Sus scrofa: one gene and its partners. The protein of the gene in region 2 interacts with the protein of the main gene of each other region in a pairwise test. Links are inferred from orthologs where the notes say so. Each region holds a gene or a part of one and is shown on either strand. Other genes may lie near its edges. The genes, in order: SYCE1, SPERT, FAM161A, MMAB and DZIP1L.

Region 1 (3,790 bases), on a different chromosome or scaffold from region 2:
TGGACCAACCCATGCCTCATTTAATGCTCTGCTCTTTCAAAACACTTTGTATATTTTGAACTAGGGGCACCGCATTTTCACTTTACACTGAGTCCTGCAAATCACATAACTTATCCTGGTTGACAAGGCAAGGTCCTGAGCTCACCTTGCTGAACCTCATTAATCCGGTTAATCAGGACCTCAACCTTGGGCTCTAGGCTTCCCGCTGCAGGGAGAAAAGGAGGTTGAGTGACTATGACAGGACAGACAGAGGGAGGTGGATGCCCCTCCAAGGGCTTACATCTTGGGTAGGGGAGACAGGAACAGAGAGAGACAAAGTCAGATTGTGGTAACTGCGGTCAAGAGAAATAGGTAATGGATTAAAAAGTAAAGGAGCAGGACACGCTTCTTCAGATATGGCAAGACCTCTTGAGAGCCCCAAATCAAGTAGGGTGGGGTAGGCCTTGAAGTTCGCTGGGTGGGTGTGAGACAGTGCAAAGGCCTGCCTTGAGGTAGGAACATGGCTGGGAGGTGTCTGGTAAGGAAGCACAGAGGAGCAGATGTGAGGTGGAGGGAAGGGAGGTAAAGGTGAAAAACTGTTTTCAGCAAATCGCAGTGGGAGCCAAATGGATGGTGAGTAAGGGGAGTGTTAGGACAATGTTTTGCATTTTATTGCATTACACTTTAACTTTGAATCATGGGTCATATTTTTAACTCAGAAAATTAAGGTTTAAAAGTAAGAGAAAGCAAATGACTTCATTTCCCAAGTTTGTGAATATGGGGGCTTAGAATTGATTCTACTTCTGCCTGAACCCAAACCTCAGGCTGAGCCTTAGTTACAGAGGAGACGTGACCTTTCTGCAACTTCTTCACCATTTCCATCAAGTCTTCTATTTTTTGTGAGGACTTGGCCTGCCCTGTGGAGACAAAAACCAAACATTTAAGAATCATATAGGTGTGAGAAGCCTGAGGGAAGATCTGACAACCTTGGGCTGGAACTGAGGTGGGTTGAGGGCAGGTTTCCAGCCAAAGTGGTGCTTCTGCTCCTTGACCTTAAGTGGACACTGCACAAGGGATGAATCGGGTCATGGTCAGCTTTTCCTTAAGGATGAAATGACACCACAGATTTCCACTTACTAAAACTCAGGGCAAGGGAAGGAGTGCATGCTTACTACAGATACTGTTCAAGGCTTGGTCAAAGCGCAGGATGTAATAATGAAAGAAAAAAAGGTATTAAAATATTAAAAACTGGAAACAAGGAGTCAGAAGTCACTGTAAACAGCAGATGGCATAATCGTCTATAAAGTTCAAGAGAATATCACCAAAACAAAACAAAACAAATCCCCACAAAAAGACCAAAATACCTCACAAGGAATAGTGAGGAAATTTAATAAGATGTCTCATTTAAATGTATATGAATACAAAACGCTTTCCTACATACAATCATTACTCTGGAGCCTCCTAGAAAACCATTTTGTACTGACTTGCTTATACTCAAATAGGCATTTATTTTTAACTCCCTAATGAACTGGTAGATCTAGGCAATTATTATTAACATCAAAATAAAGATAGACATTATGAGCTATTTGATGTAAAAATACAACATAGGATTCTTGTCAAAAATGACACTAAAACATGTTAAGCCTCTCTATCTAAATAACAATTTGAAGGAAACACAAGGACAGAGGATCATTTTAAATGGCTCCTGTGGATGCAATTAGCAACATCCACACTGGGGAGCTTCACAGGAAAAACAACCCAGTTTAACTTAAATACATTTTTGGGTTATGGGGGAGGGAGAAAGGAAGACCCTTACATACAAAAAGAGATTAAAGACACCTATCACCCAATCTCGATAAATGGATCATATTTGCATCTTGATTCAATCAAATACACTATAGAAGAATATATATATTCTTTTTCAGATTATTTTCCATTACAGATTACAAGATATTGCATATAGTTCCTTGTGCCATACATCAGGTCCTTGTTGTTTAGGTTTTATATTTAGTAGTGTGTATCAGTTAATCTCAGTCCTAATGTATCCCTCCATTCCCCCTCTCCCCTTTGGTAACCGTAAGTTTGTTTTCTATGTCTGTGAGTCTATTTCTGGTTTGTAAATAAGTTCATTTGTATCATCGTTTTAGATTCCACACATAGGTGATATTTGTCTTTGTCTGATTTACTTCATTTAGTATGATTACCTCTAGGTCCATCCATTTTGCTGGAAATGCCATTATTTCATTCTTTTTATGGCTGAGTATTATTCAGTCATGTATATATATGCACCACCTCTTCTTTATCCAGTTATCTGTCCATGGACATTTAGGTTGCTTCCATGTCTTGGCTACTGTAAAAAGTACTGCTGTGACCCTGGGGTGCATATACCATTTCAAATTAGTTTTATTTTTTTCCAGATACATGCCTAGGAGTGGGACTGTTGGATCATATGGTAACCATATTTATAGTTTTTTAAGGAACCTCTCTACTGTTCTCCATAGTGACTGCACCAATTTATATTCCCACCAACAGTGTAGAAGGGTTCCTTTTTTCCACACCCTCTCCAGCATTTATTTGTAGACTATGATAGACATTCTTACTAGTGTGAGGTGATACCTCATTGTAGTTTTCTCTTTCTATATTAGCAATGTTCAGCATCTTTTCATGTGCCTGTGCATTCTTGCATATGCCTAAATTTTTCCATAATAAAGTTTAAGAATAGGACATACAGCTCCTTTATGCCCTTCATCCCAAATCTTCCATTTGCTACTCTTTCTGAACCTTGAGAATGAGTTGCAGATACAATGCTTCATTACCCCGAATATTCTGTTGTGAAGTTCTAAAGTACAGGGACACTCTCCTATATAGTAATAACCTCAGTATAACAATTAAAACTGAGAGAACAACAGTGATAGATATTAACATACAATCCTCAAATGGCATTTTAAAAATGTCCCCTACTTTTACATTTTAAATTTCCACTAGTATTAATTACATATTCTTAGTAGAAAATACAAATATTAAGGTTAAAAATGTTCCTTTACCTCTGCATTGCCCTCAAAATCCAAGTCCCTTCCTTGGAGCCATCAATTAGGAAAGCAGCCTCCAGACATCTTTCTGTGCAACCTACATAGTGCTATAATTATAATTTTTCTTGCTTTTCTCTCATAAAAATATCCTTTTTGAAAATCATGCTGTATCAGTGTAAATACATCTAATAATTTAAAAGTTGACATAGTTACCTTAATTTTAATTCCATTTCTTCCTCATTTCAGAAATCCACTCTACAGGTATTTCCCAGTAGAAATACCTCGGGATTTAGCTGTTCCCTCCCCATGTTTTCCTACCGCCATCTAGGCTCCAGTGACTACGTAGTCCATGCATCTATATGTTTTGTGTGATCCTCCAGGAAAGAGTGAAGTTGTAAAATTCCTAAGTTTCTAAGCCACATGGGATATGGTATTTCACCAGTTATAAGACACTGGTGAAACTGATTAAACATTCATCTAAATATGTTGTCTTATTTGAGAAATTTGGAAGAGCAATACTAAGAGGTTTCTTTAGTACAGTGGTGGCCACGGTAGGTGCTTAAGAAAAGGGAACTATATGCATCTGCCCTGTTTTTCTTTGTCCTTAGCTGAGAGTTGTCACCAGGTGCCACACTGTGCTCCAATCAAGCTTTCTGTGCTGTTTCTTTAATTACTTAGACCTTTATTTTATAAAAACGTTATGGAGCCCTTACCAATGTACCAAAGCTGCACTGGTAACGGCAGGTCTGAAAGTGTCACCAAGACATGTTCATGATTGAATC
Region 2 (4,362 bases):
GATCGCAGATGCAGCTTGGATCTGGTGTTGCTGTGGCTGTGGTGTAGGCTGGTGGCTACAGCTCCAATTGGACCCCTAGTCTGGGAATCTCCATATGCTGTGGGTGCGGCCCTTAAAAAAAAAAAAAGAATCTTAGAAAAGGTGGTAGGTTTAGGCACCTCCACTCCAAAAACTTTCAGAAGGCTTTGCCATCAACTGTAAAATATCTTATCAGATATCACTTTCACATCCTTTCAGACTCAGATTTTCATAAAGTACATTATTAGCAAGAAGGGATAAGTGAGCAGTAGAAAGTCTTGTTTTCTGGGTGAGCATCTGAGGCCCAGAGAAGGGGCCGGGAAGCAGAAATCCATTTATTTTCTCTTTTCCGCAGCACTCGAGGCCAAATTTTACAAGAAAAAGAGATACCAGATGTGAAAGCCTAGAAATTCCAATCAATGTGGTTCTGCCTCAGGTAGGGATAATCACAGAAGGATGCAACCCTTCAGTTAGCCAGAATAACCCTCCCCTTTCAAAACTCTAGCCTGAGGACATGGAGCAGGCAGAGCCAGCAAGGCCTCCGATTCTAGTTGTAGGGCAGCTGCCAAGCCAGCAGTGTGGCTGGGGGAGGGCACTTAAGCCATTCTGAGTCTTGAATGGGGGGTGGGGAGGGAGCTTGTTAGGTGATCTGATAAGATCTTCCGGCCCTACCCCTTGAAATCTCTGTGACACTCTGAAATAAGCCAGTCTCTCCAAAATTAGATCTTTTGGCGTTGGCTGTTCTGCAACTTCTCTGGATTTCTGGCAGGTCCTGGGAGGTGGCTGGCAGACAATGAGATCTGAGACTTGGAATCAAAAACGCAAGACCTGGAGTTCCCATTGCGGCCCAGCACTAACAAACCCAAGTAGTATCCATGAGGACACGGGTTCGATCCCTGGCCTCATCCAGCGGGTTAAAGATCCGTTGTTGCTGTGAGCACTGGTGTGGGTCGCAGAGGAGGCTCGGATCTTATGTTGCTGTGGCTGTGGTGTAGGCCAGCGGCTACAGCTCCAATTCAACCCCTAGCCTGGGAACCTCCATATGCCGCCGGTGTGGCCATACAAAGAAAAACAAACAAACAAAAAACAAAACCAAAAAACATATGACTTGAACCCATGAGGAGACAACCTAGGACTCAGCCCAAGGGGTGCAGGGTCATCTGGGGGTGTCAGGAGAATTAAGACCTGCTTTTTGCCCAAGACAAGAGTATGGGGGGGCGGGGCTTGCAGGATTCCGAATGGAAGCCCGTGAATGGATGACGGGCTGGAGATTCTCAGCTCTCCGCCTGCTAAGCAGCCGTTTCCCTGGAGGGGTTCTCCTGATTGGATTGTTTCCATGGCTATGTCACAAAGGGGGGGCAGCCTTGCTTCTTCAGAGTCACCTAAGGCCCTGCTGGAAGATCATGGCTGTGCAGCCGGAGGGGCTGAAATGTAGGGCGGAGGAATCCAGCGTAGAGGTAGCCACCCAGAGAGCTCTGTCCAGGGCTGTGTAGGAACAGGACTGACTGCCCCTGGGCATCCTGGCCTTTCGGAGGACGTGAGGCACTGCTGCTGCGCACAAGTCCTGTGTCAGGTTCCGGACCCTCAGCAGGATGCTCCAGGCCGGCAGTCCTGGGTGGGGGAAGGGTGCGTCTCTAAGTTTAGATGAGATGTGGGCGCGTTCAGGTCCGGTTTGTTCAGGGTGGTGTGGCTGTAGTCTGTAAGTTTAGATGATCTGAACTGGGCCACCTCTAGGACTGTGAGGGACCAGTGTGCTGACTCGATCTCCCCAGAGGAGATTGTGCATGGCTGGCGGCGGGGCAAGGACCGATCTGCTTAACACGGCGGGGGTTGGGGGGGGAGAGAGGGAGATGCCCTGAGCACTGATGTGTGATGTGATCACGTGGTGGGCATGGGGCCAAGCAGCGTGAGGGAGACTGTGTAGGAATTGAAACCCAGAAGCCCCACTAGTAAGGCAGGGCTGGAGCTGGAGGCTTGAAACCAGGTCAGTGCCTCTTCCTCTGCTGTGCCCCCGGCTGGGCACAGGCCAGCTGCGTCTTCCCTGGCTTTTAGGACATGGTACCTCCCCTCCCCCCCATCTTTACTGCCTACCCCCGAGCTCCCTGCAGGTCTCTGCCACATTCTGCTTCCTTCTGAGACCAAGTCCATTCGTCGCAGCAGGGAACAGCCACAAGCAGCCCTGAGCCCTGCATTGCCAGAAAGCGCCTCTGGCCTCCTGGCTCCCAAACAAGCCGCCAGGCACGCATCTCAGTTACATTGCAGATGCCTATGGCTCACTGTTTGTTATCACCCTGTGGTCTTTTCAGGTCTTATTGATTTTCAGTTTTTCTTCCTCACATTAGGGACTTGTACTTTCTGAGCTCTTTCCCTCCAGCGCGTTAACCATCAGTGCCCAAGCTCTCTGCCCTCCTGGGTCCTTTTGTACATAACAATTCAGTTCGGGCGGAGGGGGGGGGTCGCAGTTCCCCAGTGAGCGCTCTCTGGGAACTTCCTAAAGGCACTGTTTACTGCCAGACCATTGATGCAGGACCTACACCAGGTCAGGATGCATTCTGACAGCGACCCCCTTCCACTCCTGCCGCCCCCCATCCCTCTCTGTTCCCTTGTCCCAGTCCCCTGGGTTTGGGTTTGTTCTTCAGAAGCTATGGACTCTGCCGACCATGCCTGCACCTCTGCCAGTTTGAATAAGCTTTAGGAAGAAGATGTCAGAAGATTCCGTGTTCAACAATTAGCAAAAATGAGCACAGAGGATGGCAGATGACATCTTTATCCTCTTTGCTGTTAATGTTATGATTCTATCAAGATCAATCACATTGACCTGTGAATTATCCTCTTATCTGCTGGCATTTATGAAAACCAACATTGACTTTCTCATGGCACTCGGGAGCAGAGTTAATTTAAAAATATGATAATGAGGCTCAGGCTTATCACCTGGTCTGAAAATTAGTGGCGTGGCTGGTCTTTCCTTCCAGCATCCTGGGGCCTCTCAGCTTCACACGCCTGAAAGGGAACCTCCGGTGGCTGAATGTTCTGTGATTGTAACCCTCAGTGACGCTGCCAAAGCAGGGCTTTAATGGACTTGGTCGGAGTTCCCAGTGTGGTGCAGGGGAAACAAATCTGACTAGGAACCATGAGGTTGTGGGTTCGATCCCTGGCCTTGCTCAGTGGGTTAAGGATCTGGTGCTGCCGTGAGCTGTGGTGTATGTTGTAGATGGCGTTGCTGTAGCTGTGGTGTAGGCCGGCAGCTACAGCTCTGGTTAGACCCCTAGCCTGGGAACCTCCATATGCCACAGGTGCAGGCCTAAGAAGACAAAACAAAAAAAACAAAACACGAGATGCTGGGGAGAAGGACAGGCCTGATGCTAAGGACAGATCCCCAACCACAGGGGGGATTTAGGCATCTGTGCGGGAGATGTTGGTGCCCAGAGCCCTTCCTGGGCCCTCAGCATGAATGCATCCTACTTATGTCACAGCTGGGAGCACATTGCTCTGAGGCCAACCTGTTTGGTTGCCTGGCTAATAAAGCCTTTGGAAAGAACCCCACAGCTATGAGTCTTCCCCTCCTGCATCCTGCATCCTTCTTTGCATCCCCTTCTTCCACGGGGAATCCCACCTTTTCCTCTCCCACCTCCTGGGTCTGCATCCACATGCCAGGGCACTGCCCACAGATCAGGGAGGAGACCAATCCTTTTCTTCATGGGAAACCTGGCCAGGCTGCTCTGGGCGCTGGGATCACTCTGGAACTTTCCGGGTGTTCCAGGAGCTTTTTATGGGCACGAACCCCTTGTTGTGAAATGTGTGGTCCTAATTCCCAGGACTGGGAACGTCAAAAAAACCTAAGGCATGGGTCACTGTCCCTAGAGAATTATATTTTATTCATCCGGGGAGAAGATGGGATGGGACATAGGAGAACCACTGCAAAGTAATGATAGCAACACACATGCATAATAAAATATCTGGACATTGCGAAGCGCTAGAATGAGCATGCAGTTTGGAGTCAGATATCCTGGTTTTAAACCCTTGCTGGCTGTGTGATCTCAGGTAGAAACACAGTAGCTCCTTTCAGTAAGATATTGCCTATAAATATGGAAATCAATTAGCACACCATCACATAGTAGTCATTCAGTAAGTGTTATTCCCTTTTCCTTGTTCCATACAGTATAAGGAAATGATAAGCAACTTCTGAATCCACACTATTCTTGCTTGTTTGTATCTCTCTATAAAAAAGATGCCATTCTCCTTTTATTTTTTAACTCTACAACAAACTCTCTGAAATAAATAAGGCAGATGTTAGCAAAACTGCTTTGGATGGTTGCACAGGTTGTACACTGCAACAACAGGTGT
Region 3 (3,790 bases), on a different chromosome or scaffold from region 2:
TTAACCACTGCGCCATGACGGGAACTCCCAAGGCTTTTTTAAAAAAGGATGTTCTAAAAGAACAAAGGGAAGAGCACATGGATACTTTTGTCCAAAAACTGTTTTTTGTCTTTTTAGGGCCATACCTATAGCATACGGCAGTTCCCAGGCTAGGGGTCAAATTGGAGCTTTAGCTGCTGGAGTACACAACAGCAATGCCAGATCTGAGCTTTGTCTGCTACCTACACCACAGCCCATGTCAACGCCAGATCCTTAACCCACTGAGCAAGGCCAGGGATTGAACCCACATCCTCATGAATGCTAGTCAGATTCATTTCTGCTGAGCTATGATGGAAACTCCTAAAAACAGTTCCTTGTAGTATCCACCTATTTAAAGATGGATTTTGAAAAATAGTTCCTTTCTTAATGCTCAGTGGAATGTAGCTCTTTTTTTTTTTTTTTTTTTGGTCCTTTTTTTTGGCAGGGGCCGCACCCACGGCATATGGAAGTTCCCAGGCTAGGGGTCAAATCAGAGCCGCAGCTGCTGGCCTATACCACAGCTCACGGCAATGCCAGATCCTTAACCCACTAAGCAAGGCTAGAGTTTGAACCTGTGTCCTCATGGATGCTAGTCAGATTTGTTTCCACTGAGCCACAACGGGAACTCTGAATATAGCTCTTTAGAGCAGCCAATATGTCTTTGACTGCTTCAGTCCTTTGTGAGAGAATGTCTTTCCTTGGTGTTTTTTAAGCTGGACATTCATTCATCCAACAAAAATTTATTGAGTGTCTGCCACTGGCCAGGCACTTTTCCAGTCATTGGGGACACAACTGTGAACAAAGCTGACAAATACTTGTTTTTGTGAGACTTACTTTTTGGTAGGGGGCAGGCATATGATACACAAATAAGCAGAGATATGTAGCATGTCAGTCGGGGGTGAGAGAAATAAAGCAGAAGATGGAGGCTGACAATGAGTCAAGAGGGGGAGGTTGTAATTTTGAGTAGAATGTCAGTGAAGACCTTGCTTGGAAGCTGACATTTGAGTAAAGATCTGAAGGAGTGAGCAGACTTTCCCCTAGTCAGAATGAGGTATTTCTTCTGTGAGTTCTCATGGTGTCTGAAATTGTCATGTGTGGTCACTCATCTGTCTCCTTGCTCAGCAGGGAGCTGCTCGTGGGCAGGAAGCAGTTGTGCTGTCTCATTTTGAGTCTGCTATCGATTATTTATCTACATGTTCTCTCCTAAACTACCTGGAAGCTTCTCAAAGGTGCAGTTTTTATCTGATGTGTATCTTTCAGCAGCTAGCTGAATGCCGTGTGTCCCTCAAAACTGAGTGAGGAAATTAATAGAACACTCATTCCCACAGCCAAGAAGGCTATGGTGAAGAGCAACTGCAGAAACAGCATCAGGTAGCAGACAATTCTCTTAATTGAGTTGTATGACTCTTAAAGCAATTCTCCAATTTATTTGGTAATACATTTCTGCACACTAGTTCTACTAAAAACTTGTTTTCCTGCGTTCGTTTTCTCTAAGTTGTCCCAAGTGATACGACCCTGGCCTCCTGTACTGTTTTTAGCCCATTAAAAAGTTATATCTATAAATATGACTGACTCCTGAATTTTCCTGTTGGGAGACACCCCTCAGATTTATTTTCTAGAGTTTCATCAGACTGAACCTATACTTTTCTATGGCAAATATGCCTTTTTCATTTTGAGTATCCTTCAGGCACTAGGCTAATTTAAAACCATGGTCAGCAGCCTTTTATGCATATAAGTAATTTCAATTGTTTCCCACATGAAAAAATATTAAAATTTTTGTATTTGTATAGAATGTGGGGTTTTACCTCTTTAGTTGTTTGAGCTAAAAGAACTTTGAAAGGTTTGTGAGAGGAAAGAGGGGAAAAGATCAGTCGTACCCTTGCAGGCATGTAAATAGAATAGCCCCCCTCTGCTTTCTTGTTCTCTTATCTACCCCACAGTCCCTGTCATCCATGGCAGCTACTGTTTTTGTAGCCCGGGGGAGTGGCTGTTCTGGAAGTCCCTCCCACCCCTTCCCACACCCTCCTCCTCCCTCCCGAGGTATCCCCCAGTATCCAGGAGGGCATCTTCCTGGCTCCTTGATAAGTCCCTGAGCACTCTGTTCCCTCCATTCCCTGTGCCACTGTCCTCTCTTCCCTGGCACACCCTGGGGCCCGCGCAGCAGGAGCCCAGCTGGGGGAGGTTGCTCGGTTTGCAGCAGGAGAAACTGTGTTCCCCTTCATCTCAGGTAAACCTACACTCAGAAGGAGCCTCTATGAAGGGTGGGTTGGGAGTTCCCGCTGTGGCACAGAGGGATCAGAGGCATCTCTGCAGCACTGGGATGGATCCCTGGTTGGCACAGAGAGGTAAGGATCTGGTCTCACTGCAGCCGTGGAATGGTGGCTTATATCTGATTCCTGGCCCCAGAACTTCCATATGCCTTGGGGTGGTCAAGAAAGAAAAGAGAAAGAGGAGTTCCCGTCGTGGCACAGTGGTTAACAAATCCAACTAGGAACCATGAGGTTTCGGGTTCGATCCCTGGCCTTGCTCAGTGGGTTAAGGATCTGGCATTGCCGTGAGCTGTGGTGTAGGTTGCAGAAGCAGCTCGGATCCCGCGTTGCTGTGGCTCTGGCGTAGGCCAGCGGCTACAGCTCCGATTCGATGCCTATCCTGGGAACCTCCATATGCCACAGGAGCAGCCCTAGAAAAGGCAAAATGACCAAAAAAAAAAAAAAAAAAAAAAAAAGAGAAAGAAAGAAAAAGATTTAGTTTTATACTTTCACAGTGTATGGGTTAGTACATGATCTGGGAATCTAACCATCCTTTATAAAATAAATGAAATAGCATTTATTTTTGGGCAACTTGGTATCTCTCATTCTGAATAAAATGTCATTAAGAGAAAATGTATCTAGCTACAAGTAGCTTATAATCCATTATGTACAGAGTCCACATGTAACATATAACCTGATTAAGGGGACTTTTAAAATTTAAAACAGCCTTGGGGGAGTTCCTGTTGTGGCTCAGTGGGTAACGAACCCAACTAGTATCCAGGAGGATGTGGGTTCCATCCTTGGCCTTGCTCATTGGGTTAAAGATCTGATGTTGCCTTGAGCCATGGTATAGGCTGCAGATAAAGCTCAGATCCTTCATTGCTGTCACTGTGGCATAGGCCAGCAGCTACAGCTCTGATTTGACCCCTTGCCTGGGAACTTTCATATGCTGCAGGTGCAGCCCTAAAAAAAAATAAAAATAAAAAAGCAGCATTGGGAATCAGTGTCAGCTTAATTTGGTTTTCAATTCCAGACATCATATAACATTTTTTTTCCTCCTACCAGGCTGATTTTAACACCGACGTTTCTGGGGTGAGTGAACAAAAACAGGATTTTGTGAACTTTTCTGATATTTACTACTCTAATGAAGAGTATTTCAGGAAACTAGAAGAGCTGAAGGCTGCCCACATGGAAACTATGGCCAAGTTAGAGAAAATGTACCAGAATAAACTAAATTTAAAGGAAGTTCAGCCAGTGGTCACCAGGGAAGAAGCTGCTAGTGTCTCTTCTAAGTAAGTTTGTACATAATGTTATTTGTGGAATGTAAAATAAAATGTGTACCTAAAAGTGCAGAACAAAATTATTTCAGAATATTTTCTCACAAATATTCCCCACATCCCCACTCCCCCTTTCTTGGCTTCTCAGCAGCATATGTAGTTCCTGGGCCAGGGGACAGATCCAGGCTGCAGTTTTGACCTAAGCTGCATCTGCAGCATGGCTTGATCCTTAACCCACTGTGCCAG
Region 4 (4,288 bases), on a different chromosome or scaffold from region 2:
GAAAATTCACCATTTTAACCATTTTTAGGTGTACAATAGCATTAAGTACATCCTATGCATGTCTTTATTGTTTTACTACATAAACATACCCCCAGACCAATAAATACTAGTGATCAGCATAGTTTTTTTGTACTTTTTTAGGGCCGTACCCCAGGCATATGGAGGTTCCCAGACCAGGGGTCAAATAATCAGAGCTACAGCTGCCAGCCTATACCACAGCCACAGAAAGGCAGGATCTGAGCCTCATCTGCAACCTACACCACAGCTCACAACAACGCCGGATCTTTAACCCACTGAGCGAAGCTAGGGATCGAACCCAAAACCTCATGGTTCCTAGTCGGATTTATTTCTGCTGCGCCACGAAGGGAACTCCCTCAGCACAATTTTAAACTTTAGAAAATAGTATCATACTGATAGGTTCTTCTGGATCCTTTTTCTGTAAAACATAAGTTGTAGAGTTTTTTAATCTTCATTTTTTAAAATTTACTTTTACTTTTTATTATTATAGTTGATTTCCAATGTTGTGCCAATTTCTGCTGTACAGCAAAGAGACTCAGTCATGCAAATATATGTTCTTTTTTTTTTTTTTTTTTTTTTTTTTTTTTTTTTTTAGGGCCACACTCACAGCATATAGAGGTTCCCAGGCTAGGGGTCCAACCACAGCAACACAGGATCCAAGCTGTGTCTGCGACCTACACCACAGCTCATGGCAACACCAGATCCTTAAACCACTGAGGAAGGCCAGGAATGGTTCCTAGTTGGATTTGTTTCTGCTGCACCATGATGGTAACTCCCAAATATATATTCTCTCTCTCGTTTTTTTTTTTTTTTTTTTTAAGGCTCCACCTACGGCATATGGAAATTCCTGGGTCAGGGGTCCAATTAGAGCTGTAGCTGCCGGCCTATGCTACAGCCACAGCAACGCTGGATCCAAGCAATATCTGTGACCTATGCTGTAGTCTGTGGCAATGCCAGCTCCTTAAGCCACTGAGTGGGTCCAGGGATCAAACCCACATCCTCAAGGATACTATGTCAGGTTCTTAACCCTCTGAGCCACAACAGGAACGCCTATATCCTTTTTTTTATATATTATTTTCCATCATGGTCTATCCCAGGAGATTGGATATAGTTCCCTGTGGTATACAGTAGGAATTTATTTTTTTTTTTAGTATAATAACTATGTTTTTTCCATTTTAGGAAGTATAGTTGATTTACAATGTTGTGCCAATTGTTCTGGCATTTTAAAAATTATCAAAGTAATATGTGCTCACTATAAAAATAATGGAATACAGTAAAAATATGTATAGGAAACAACGAAAGCCTATCTATTCATTCCCCTCTCCCATAATTCAAGATCTCTCTCAGGTCCAAGGTGTAACTATATAATGTTCTTGGCATTTCTGAAAATATAAAGACACACACACTTGTATCCAATGGATTCCAATTTGAACTGCTCTGCAACTCACGTTTATCACTTAATATATCTTGGGCCCTTTCATGTCACATCACATTTTGATCTGTCACATACTTTGCAGTGTCTGCAAAGAAGGCAGAAGAACTTTAAAATGGAAGAATCTTCCATCTCTCTCTGTATTTTTCGCCTGTCCCCACCCTACCTTTGTCTCCTGTCTTGGTGTAGATCTTGGGGATTTTGGGCGTCTTTGAGGAAGGCTGTGGCCTAAGGAGAAACAGACAGCAAGAGGTGGTGAGTGGATGTAAATCAACTATAATGGAAAAAATAAAAATCTTTAAAAAAAGAGGTGGTGAGTGGGGATGGCCTACACCATGGGGCACCTCCATCAGTGGGTCACAGTTTGCTATCTGAACTCAATGGCAGCACTTATCTGCCTCTGCTTGGATCTCCTGTTATCTTTCCCCTCTGCTGCTCTTATTTTTAAGCTCTTTGTGGGCAAGCTCTGAATCTTGCCCACATCCATAGCTTCCCAGTAGCTGAAGTAGTGTAGCGCTCAATAAATACAGGCTGAAAGAATTTATCAATCATTTTCTGTAGTCTCTGTTCTGTGATAGGTAAATTAATGACACTATCACCTAGAATTATCTCTGGAAGCTTCCCAAGCCCTCAAGGGAGGCACTACCCATGACCTTCATTTTAATGAGGAATCTCTAGCTCACGAATGAGACTCACCTTCCCAGGTCATCCAGGGAGGAAGGAATCAAGCTGGGATTCTTGCCCATGACTACCTTACTCCACATTCCAAACAGTTACCTCTGTTCTACTCAAAACTTTGACCATCTACTCCACTAAGCCAGGGACTCTTGGAGTGAAAAAACCCTGGGCTATTTGCATACTGTGAAGCTCCCAAGTGCACTCCGAAATGAAGAACTGCCAAAACAGGGTTCAAAAACTGGCATTTTCAAATAGCAACATAACACTTTTAATACACACTTCAGCATTAAAAAGTGACATTAAAAGGTTATTCAAATGTTCAATTACGGATCTATTAAATATATTAATCCATTAAGTCAGGTTCTGAGGTCTGGGAATAGGGTGCAGATTTCAAGATATATGACAGCCACCTTTAGATTGTGTTGGTGTATCTCTGTGTCTTAAAGTATAAACTAAGTTGGAGATAGGTCAAAATCTGAATTGCGGCCCCTCCTGATTGTAAGGCCAGTCAAGATGACCCTCTTGGCCCACAGAGGATACATCCTGTCCTGATGAATGCTAGACTTCGTTTGGACTTGTCTTGTGCCAAGACACCTTGATTTCCAGCTTCCACAGAGCCTGTGTTGCCATGTGACGTCAGGGCTACAGAGCACGTCACCTGGGATAACTGCGGCGACGCCCCAGGGGTATGACGTAACCAGGGCGACGAAAACACAATTCACTGCAGGTACCCGAGTTATGCCTACCGTCCCAGGCAGGCACTCACCTCTCCCCGTCTTCCACGCCTTGGGGGCCACGGCTCTGAAAACGGAGACACAGTAGCCTGCGGGCACCAAGGCACCCACGCAGGCCAAGGCGACCTCCCGGGCCCCATATAGCCATGAGCCAGGCTTCTGATTGAGGGCTGACCCTGACAGGCTCCCGTCCAGGTTCCTGGATGACACCACCTACCGCCGGCCGCGCCACCACTCAGCCGCCGTCTTCCATTGGTCCGTGGCTCTCGCCCCAGGGCGGGACACTCCCAGGGATTTGTTTCCATTGGTTCACACAGGAGAGGGGCGGGGAAATCCACGAGGACTTGGCTAGCAACGTCTATTGGCTACTACTCAAGCCAATTGGTAAAAAGAGACTCCCGGCCCGCGCGCTCTGATTGGCTGGGCGGATGGGCTCGGCCACCACCCCATGGCGCTTCAGAGCTCGCGGGTTGAGTCCGGGAGCTGTTCGGGATCTGGAGCCGAGAGCCTGCAGTCGCAGGTGAGAAATCGGAGTCGTGGTCCCTGGTGGGGCCAAGTCCGAGGCTGAGACCTAGGACGACCCCGGCTGGGCTCTTGGCTTCTCTGGCTCAGTTTCCCCAATTCTGAGCATCCGTCCTGAGTGGCCCACGACCTCGAATCTGGCAGACGGGATTTTGATTTTTGGGCAAGCAACAGGTTTCCCGGCTCCGAGCCTGAGTTTCCCCTCCCCTTCTAAGAAACGGTACTTAGCTCATACTGCGGTTCAGGCCTCGTTCTATTGAGGTGATATACGGAAAGCCTTAAATAGATGGTAATTTTATACGGTTTACAAAAATCTTAAATGCACACAACGTGCACCTAGCAAGTTACTTTCTAGCAGTCTGTCTTGTAGAGATTCTCGCTTAAATGTCACCAAAAAAAAAAAAAAAAAAAAAAAGGAGGGGGTTGTAAGAGCTGTTTTCTGTGGCCTATTTTTAATTATGAAATGTTAGTAACAGCCTAAATGTCCAGGAAAGAGTTCTTTCTGGTCCATGATTTCATTTACATTTCTACCTTTATGGAGTTCCTTCTGTGGATCAGTGGGTTAAGAAGCTGCCTGCAGTGGCCTGGGTGCACCTGCAGCTCTGATTCAGTCCCTGGCCGGGGAACTTCCACATGCTAAGAGTGCAGACATTTTTTAAAAAATTGTAGTAATAATAAAATTGCAACCAAGAACCAAGCCAGTAATAAGTAGCTGTCAGCAATTGAGTGATTATGATGTACCAGACATTGCTGTTTCCCTTCCATTATTAACCTTCTCAAAATCCATCGAGTTAAGTTCACTTATTGCTCCATGCAGCTTTTTGTGTCTGTGTGTGTGTCTTTTTTTTAGGGCCGCCCCTGCGGCATATGGAAGTTCCTAGGCTAGGGGTCGAATTGGAACTGT
Region 5 (4,547 bases), on a different chromosome or scaffold from region 2:
TCCACTCTTTCTTGCCCTTAAAGTAGCAAAAGAGCGAGAAATCCACTCTGCCAAGCACACACCGCCCCCATCCTTTACAATAGGTCTCCAATTCCTAGAAACTTTAAGGCGATATTTTTATTTTTTATTTTTTGTCTTTTTAGGGCCACACCTTCGGCATATGGAGGTTCCTGGGCTAGGGGCTATAGCTGCCACAGCAGTGCACACAGCCACAGCAGTGCAGGATCCCATCCTCATCTGCAACCTATACCACAGCTCACAGCAAGGCGGGATCCTTAACCCACTGAGCAAGGCCAGGGATGGAACCCGAGTCGTCCTGGATACGACTCGGGTTCGTTAACCACCGAGCCACCATGGGAAATGAGAGGAAATATTTTTAAAAGACAATGCCAGAGTTCTCATCATGGCTCAGCAGGTTAAGAACTCAACTAGCATCCACAAGGATGAGGGTCTCGCTCAGTGGGCTAAGGATCCAACGTTGCTGGGAGCTGCGGTGTAAGTTGCAGACATGGCTCAGATCTGGCATTGCTATGGCTGTGGTATAGGCCCCTAGCCCGGGAACTTCCATATGCCACAGGTGAGGCCCTAAAAAGAAGAAAGAAAGAAATAGATAAAAAGACAACGTCCTTGTTCGGTCGAAAGCCTATTTTAAGTTTTTGCCACAGAAGAATTATCTTTAAAAATCAAAGATGGGGATTTGACTGACATGTCTTCAAAGTATTTTAGAGGGAAAGGACTTCATACTGATAAGATCAATCTTCCCAGATCAAAACTGTCAAAAACAAACACTAATTTTCACATCTAAAAGAACAGCATTTGAGGAGTTCCCATTGTGGCTCTGCGATTAATGAACCCAACTAGGATCCATGAGAATGCAGATTCGATCCCTGGCCTCTATAAGTGGGTTAAGGATCCAGTGTTGTCATGAGCTGCAGTGTGGGTCGCAGACACAGCTCAGATCCCTCTTTGCTGTGGCTGTAGCGTAGGCCGACAGCTACAACTCAAATTTGACCCTTAGCCTGGGAATCTCCATATGCTGCAGGCGTGGCCCCAAAAAGACCAAAAAAAAAAAAAAAAAAAAAAAAAAAGGCAAAAATAAAAGAATGACAGGAGTTCCCGTCGAGGCTCAGTGGTTAACAAATCCGACTAGAAACCTTGAGGTTGCGGGTTTGATCCCTGGCCTTGCTTGGTGGGTTAAGGATCCAGCGTTGTCATGAGCTGTGGTATAGGTCACAGATGCGGCTCGGATCCCGTGTTGCTGTGGCTCTGGCATAGGCCAGCAGCTACAGCTCCGATTCGACCCCTAGCCTGGGAACCTCCATATGCCGAGGGAGTGGCCCTAGAAAAGGTAAAAAGACAAAAAATAAAATAAAAAATAAAATAAAGTAAGATAAAACAAAATAAAATAAAATAAAGCAAAACAAAACAAAAATAAAAGAATGACAACTGAAAACATACTATTGTTTTCTTTCCCATAGAGAAGTCATTGCTTCTTGGCAGAGCTTCTCCAACTTCAGAGCCTGGGCCATCAGACCCTCAAAATCCTCCCTAGAGGTATAAGGCCCAGTGACAGGTGGTATTGCAGGTGGATAACCCTGCTGACCAGGGCTGGCCCTCCCTGCAAGGGGCCCACAAGGAGGTCCAGAACAGTGCACCAAGTTGTCCCCTTCCCTGCTCCTGTCAGTTTCAGCTGAGCGACAAGCCTTTTGACCAAATAAGTTCCAGCTTCCTGGCAGAACCCACTTATGCTGTGCAAATGAATTCAGGTTTCTGTTCCCAACCCGAGGCATATAACTTCACAAGACCATTCTATCAAGTTGGATGGCATCCACAAAGATTTCTACCACAGACAGAGGTCTCCAGAGCATTGATGCTGACAGAGACAGAAGATGGCTCATCAGCCACTTGACTGGAGAATCTGCCTTCTCTAAGTGAGGCTGTTCTCACTGGCCAGTCCTCTGCTCCAGGGTGAGATGTGAGGGACTGTGACAAAGGAGAGGAACCACCCACCCTATCTGCAGGCCACAGTCTGAGCACCTCACACTCACAAAGCCTCCCTTCAAAGTCCTGTTAGAAACCACATTTCAAGAAACTGCTGGGACGGGCAAGCCCTGGGCCCTAAGTAGTGCTGGGTGAACGGTGGCCCCTGCCCAGGCCTCCTCGACCCCTCTTCTGAGCTCCCTTCTGGACCCTAGTCCTGTACTAAATAAGTGTCCCATGGACTTTTATCTGCAGCCACCTCAAAATAAAAATATGATCGCTGCCTCCTGCTAAACCCCAGCCTCGGAGTGCAAGGCAGAGGAACCAGAGGTGCTAAACTGTTTTTAAATGAACTCGTTAGTCAAAGGTCTCCCTTTACCTACAGAACGCAAAGCAGCAAACCTCTAACCCCACCCCAATCATTTTACTTTTTTCAAAAAGTGAAAATCCAAGGTCATCCTCCCAGCGAAGCCCTGCCCTGCTCACCTCCGGGTACCTCTGTCCCTATCAGGCCAAGCAGCCAGGGTGGGGACGCCAGGCTCAAGAGGCGAAGCTGAGGCGTAGAGTCCGAAGCTCCCGCACCTCACCCCGCAGGACTAGGGAGCCGCGGCTGTTTAACGTCCTGAGGCCCGCGGGTCGGGTCACTCGGACTGCACCACGCTCCCCACCCCTGCCGGTTCCGGGCCGAATTCCTGGCATAGTTTCCCTACGCGGCCCAGCTCAGCTGGGGGGGTCCTCTGAGCCGAGGGAGCGAGCAATGGTCCCGAGCGCGTGACTCCGCTCCTCCGCCCGGCTTAGCCTCCGGGCTCGCTCCACCGCCTCCGACCGACGTGCTTCCAGGAATCAGCGCCGCCGCGCGGGCCTGGGATGCTTCCTAAGCCCCGGCTAGCCCGGCCTCTCCCGGGCGCGGGACAGAGCCGCCTCGCCACCCAGTGCTGCTGACCTGCGGGGCTGGGGGCACAGAAAACCTCTGGGCGCCGGCCCAAGAAGGCTTGGGGTCTCTGATGCCTCCAGCTCCCGCGACAGCTGCTGGAGGGGCGGAGCTTCTCCGCAAACACCCCCCCCCCCCCCCCCCCGGGACAAGCTATTTTTAGGTCCGTTAGGGAAGCGGGAAGGAGAGAATGCCACGTTTAATCTGTCAGGAAAATCCAGGAACCTAATGAGTGGCTCCCAGACCTTGATGAAAGGCCGGGACGTCCTCCGTCCCCCACCCCAGACACTCACGCACACAGCCCCCCACCCATTCACCCAGTACAGCCGCTGGCCTGCTGAGAGCCCCTGGGCAGCTTTAACCACCCACCCCCTCCCCCCGGGCCGACAGGCCTGCCAATCTAAACTAAACTGAACTGAACTGAATTAAGCAACTAAAGTAAACTAAAGGGACCTTCTTGGTGTCTGACCCAGACCCATGCTCCTCCTTTAAGAGAGTCCCAGATCTGGTCAGATGGCAACCACCTTCCCCCCAACCCCCAACCTCCTGTGGATACAGCTGGGAAACCCAGAACTAAAGAATTATTTCTCTCTTGAAAACAGTCTCTGACCTCTTCCCATAGCCATCTGTTGCTTTACTGAAACTCGGATTTCTAACTCCATTTTTTTATTTTTTTGAGCCTTCCTCCCACTCCGGCCTCAGTCTGCCAAGTTGTGTCATTAGGCATTCCAAGCAAAATTGCATGGGAGCAAATGTTGGCAAGAATGTGGAGAAACTGGATTACCTATGCACTACTGTGAGAATGTAAAATGGTACAACCACCATGGGAAAAGAGAATGGTGGTTCCTCAAAAAATTAAACATGGAATTACTGTATGATCCAGCACTTGCACTTCTGAGTATACACACAAAAGGATTACACGCAGAAACTCAAACAGATATCTGTACACCCATGTTTATAGCAGCATTATTCACAATAGCCAGAAGGTGGGAATAACCCAATGTCCATCAACAGATGAATGGACAAAAAAATGTTATATGTATGTGTGCGTGTGTGTGTATAGACATACACAACATTATATATATATATGTGTGTGTGTGTGTGTGTGTGTGTGTGTGTATATATGTATATGTATATATATCAGCCTTAAAAGGAATGAAATCTGATACATGCTTCAACATGAATGAACCTTGAAAACATTCTTCTAAGTGAAATTAGTCAGACACAAAGAGACACATATAATTCTACTTACACAAGGTACCTAGAATAGTCAAGCTCATAGAGACTGAAAGTAGAATGATGGCTGCCAGGGATGGAGGGAGGAGGGAATAGGAAGTTATCGCCTAATGGGTACAGAGTTTCAGTTTGGGATGATATAAAATTTCTAAAGATGGATAGCACTGCTTGTTGCACAGCAGTGTGAATGTCCTTAATACCACTGAGCAATACACTTGAAAATGGTTAAAAGTGTAAATGTATGGTATGTATATATTACCAAAAAAAAATTTTTTTTTGAGGGCTGCACCTGCGGCATATGTAGGTTCCCAGGCCAGGGATTGAATCGGAGCTTCAGCTGTGGGCCTACACCACAGCCACAGAAACGCAGGATCTGAGCCATGTCTTCCACCTACACCAC

Evidence for each region.
Region 1: the proteins of SPERT (region 2) and SYCE1 interact in binary tests that used the Homo sapiens proteins (3 or more experiments, as listed by UniProt). The two-hybrid records come from large-scale screens. The link is inferred for Sus scrofa from reciprocal best matches to the Homo sapiens genes CBY2 and SYCE1.
Region 3: the proteins of SPERT (region 2) and FAM161A interact in binary tests that used the Homo sapiens proteins (3 or more experiments, as listed by UniProt). The two-hybrid records come from large-scale screens. The link is inferred for Sus scrofa from reciprocal best matches to the Homo sapiens genes CBY2 and FAM161A.
Region 4: the proteins of SPERT (region 2) and MMAB interact in binary tests that used the Homo sapiens proteins (3 or more experiments, as listed by UniProt). The two-hybrid records come from large-scale screens. The link is inferred for Sus scrofa from reciprocal best matches to the Homo sapiens genes CBY2 and MMAB.
Region 5: the proteins of SPERT (region 2) and DZIP1L interact in binary tests that used the Homo sapiens proteins (3 or more experiments, as listed by UniProt). The two-hybrid records come from large-scale screens. The link is inferred for Sus scrofa from reciprocal best matches to the Homo sapiens genes CBY2 and DZIP1L.

The regions. Positions count from the first base shown.
Region 1 is NC_010456.5:141,731,280-141,735,069, forward strand, and holds part of SYCE1 (synaptonemal complex central element protein 1), read right to left. Parts: intron 897-3,790; coding exon 834-896; intron 206-833; coding exon 146-205; intron 1-145. UniProt on the Homo sapiens protein: Major component of the transverse central element of synaptonemal complexes (SCS), formed between homologous chromosomes during meiotic prophase. Requires SYCP1 in order to be incorporated into the central element.
Region 2 is NC_010453.5:21,617,728-21,622,089, reverse strand, and holds the start of SPERT (spermatid-associated protein), read left to right. Parts: upstream 1-1,387; 5' UTR 1,388-1,421; coding exon 1,422-1,475; intron 1,476-4,362.
Region 3 is NC_010445.4:79,959,088-79,962,877, forward strand, and holds part of FAM161A (protein FAM161A), read left to right. Parts: intron 1-1,281; exon of another isoform or gene 1,282-2,363; intron 2,364-3,332; coding exon 3,333-3,559; intron 3,560-3,790. UniProt on the Homo sapiens protein: Involved in ciliogenesis.
Region 4 is NC_010456.5:41,356,376-41,360,663, reverse strand, and holds the start of MMAB (cob(I)yrinic acid a,c-diamide adenosyltransferase, mitochondrial), read right to left. Parts: upstream 3,078-4,288; 5' UTR 3,011-3,077; coding exon 2,895-3,010; intron 1,679-2,894; coding exon 1,617-1,678; intron 1-1,616. UniProt on the Homo sapiens protein: Converts cob(I)alamin to adenosylcobalamin (adenosylcob(III)alamin), a coenzyme for methylmalonyl-CoA mutase, therefore participates in the final step of the vitamin B12 conversion.
Region 5 is NC_010455.5:78,913,604-78,918,150, forward strand, and holds the start of DZIP1L (zinc finger protein DZIP1L), read right to left. Parts: upstream 3,030-4,547; 5' UTR 2,467-3,029; intron 155-2,466; exon of another isoform or gene 1-154. UniProt on the Homo sapiens protein: Involved in primary cilium formation. Probably acts as a transition zone protein required for localization of PKD1/PC1 and PKD2/PC2 to the ciliary membrane.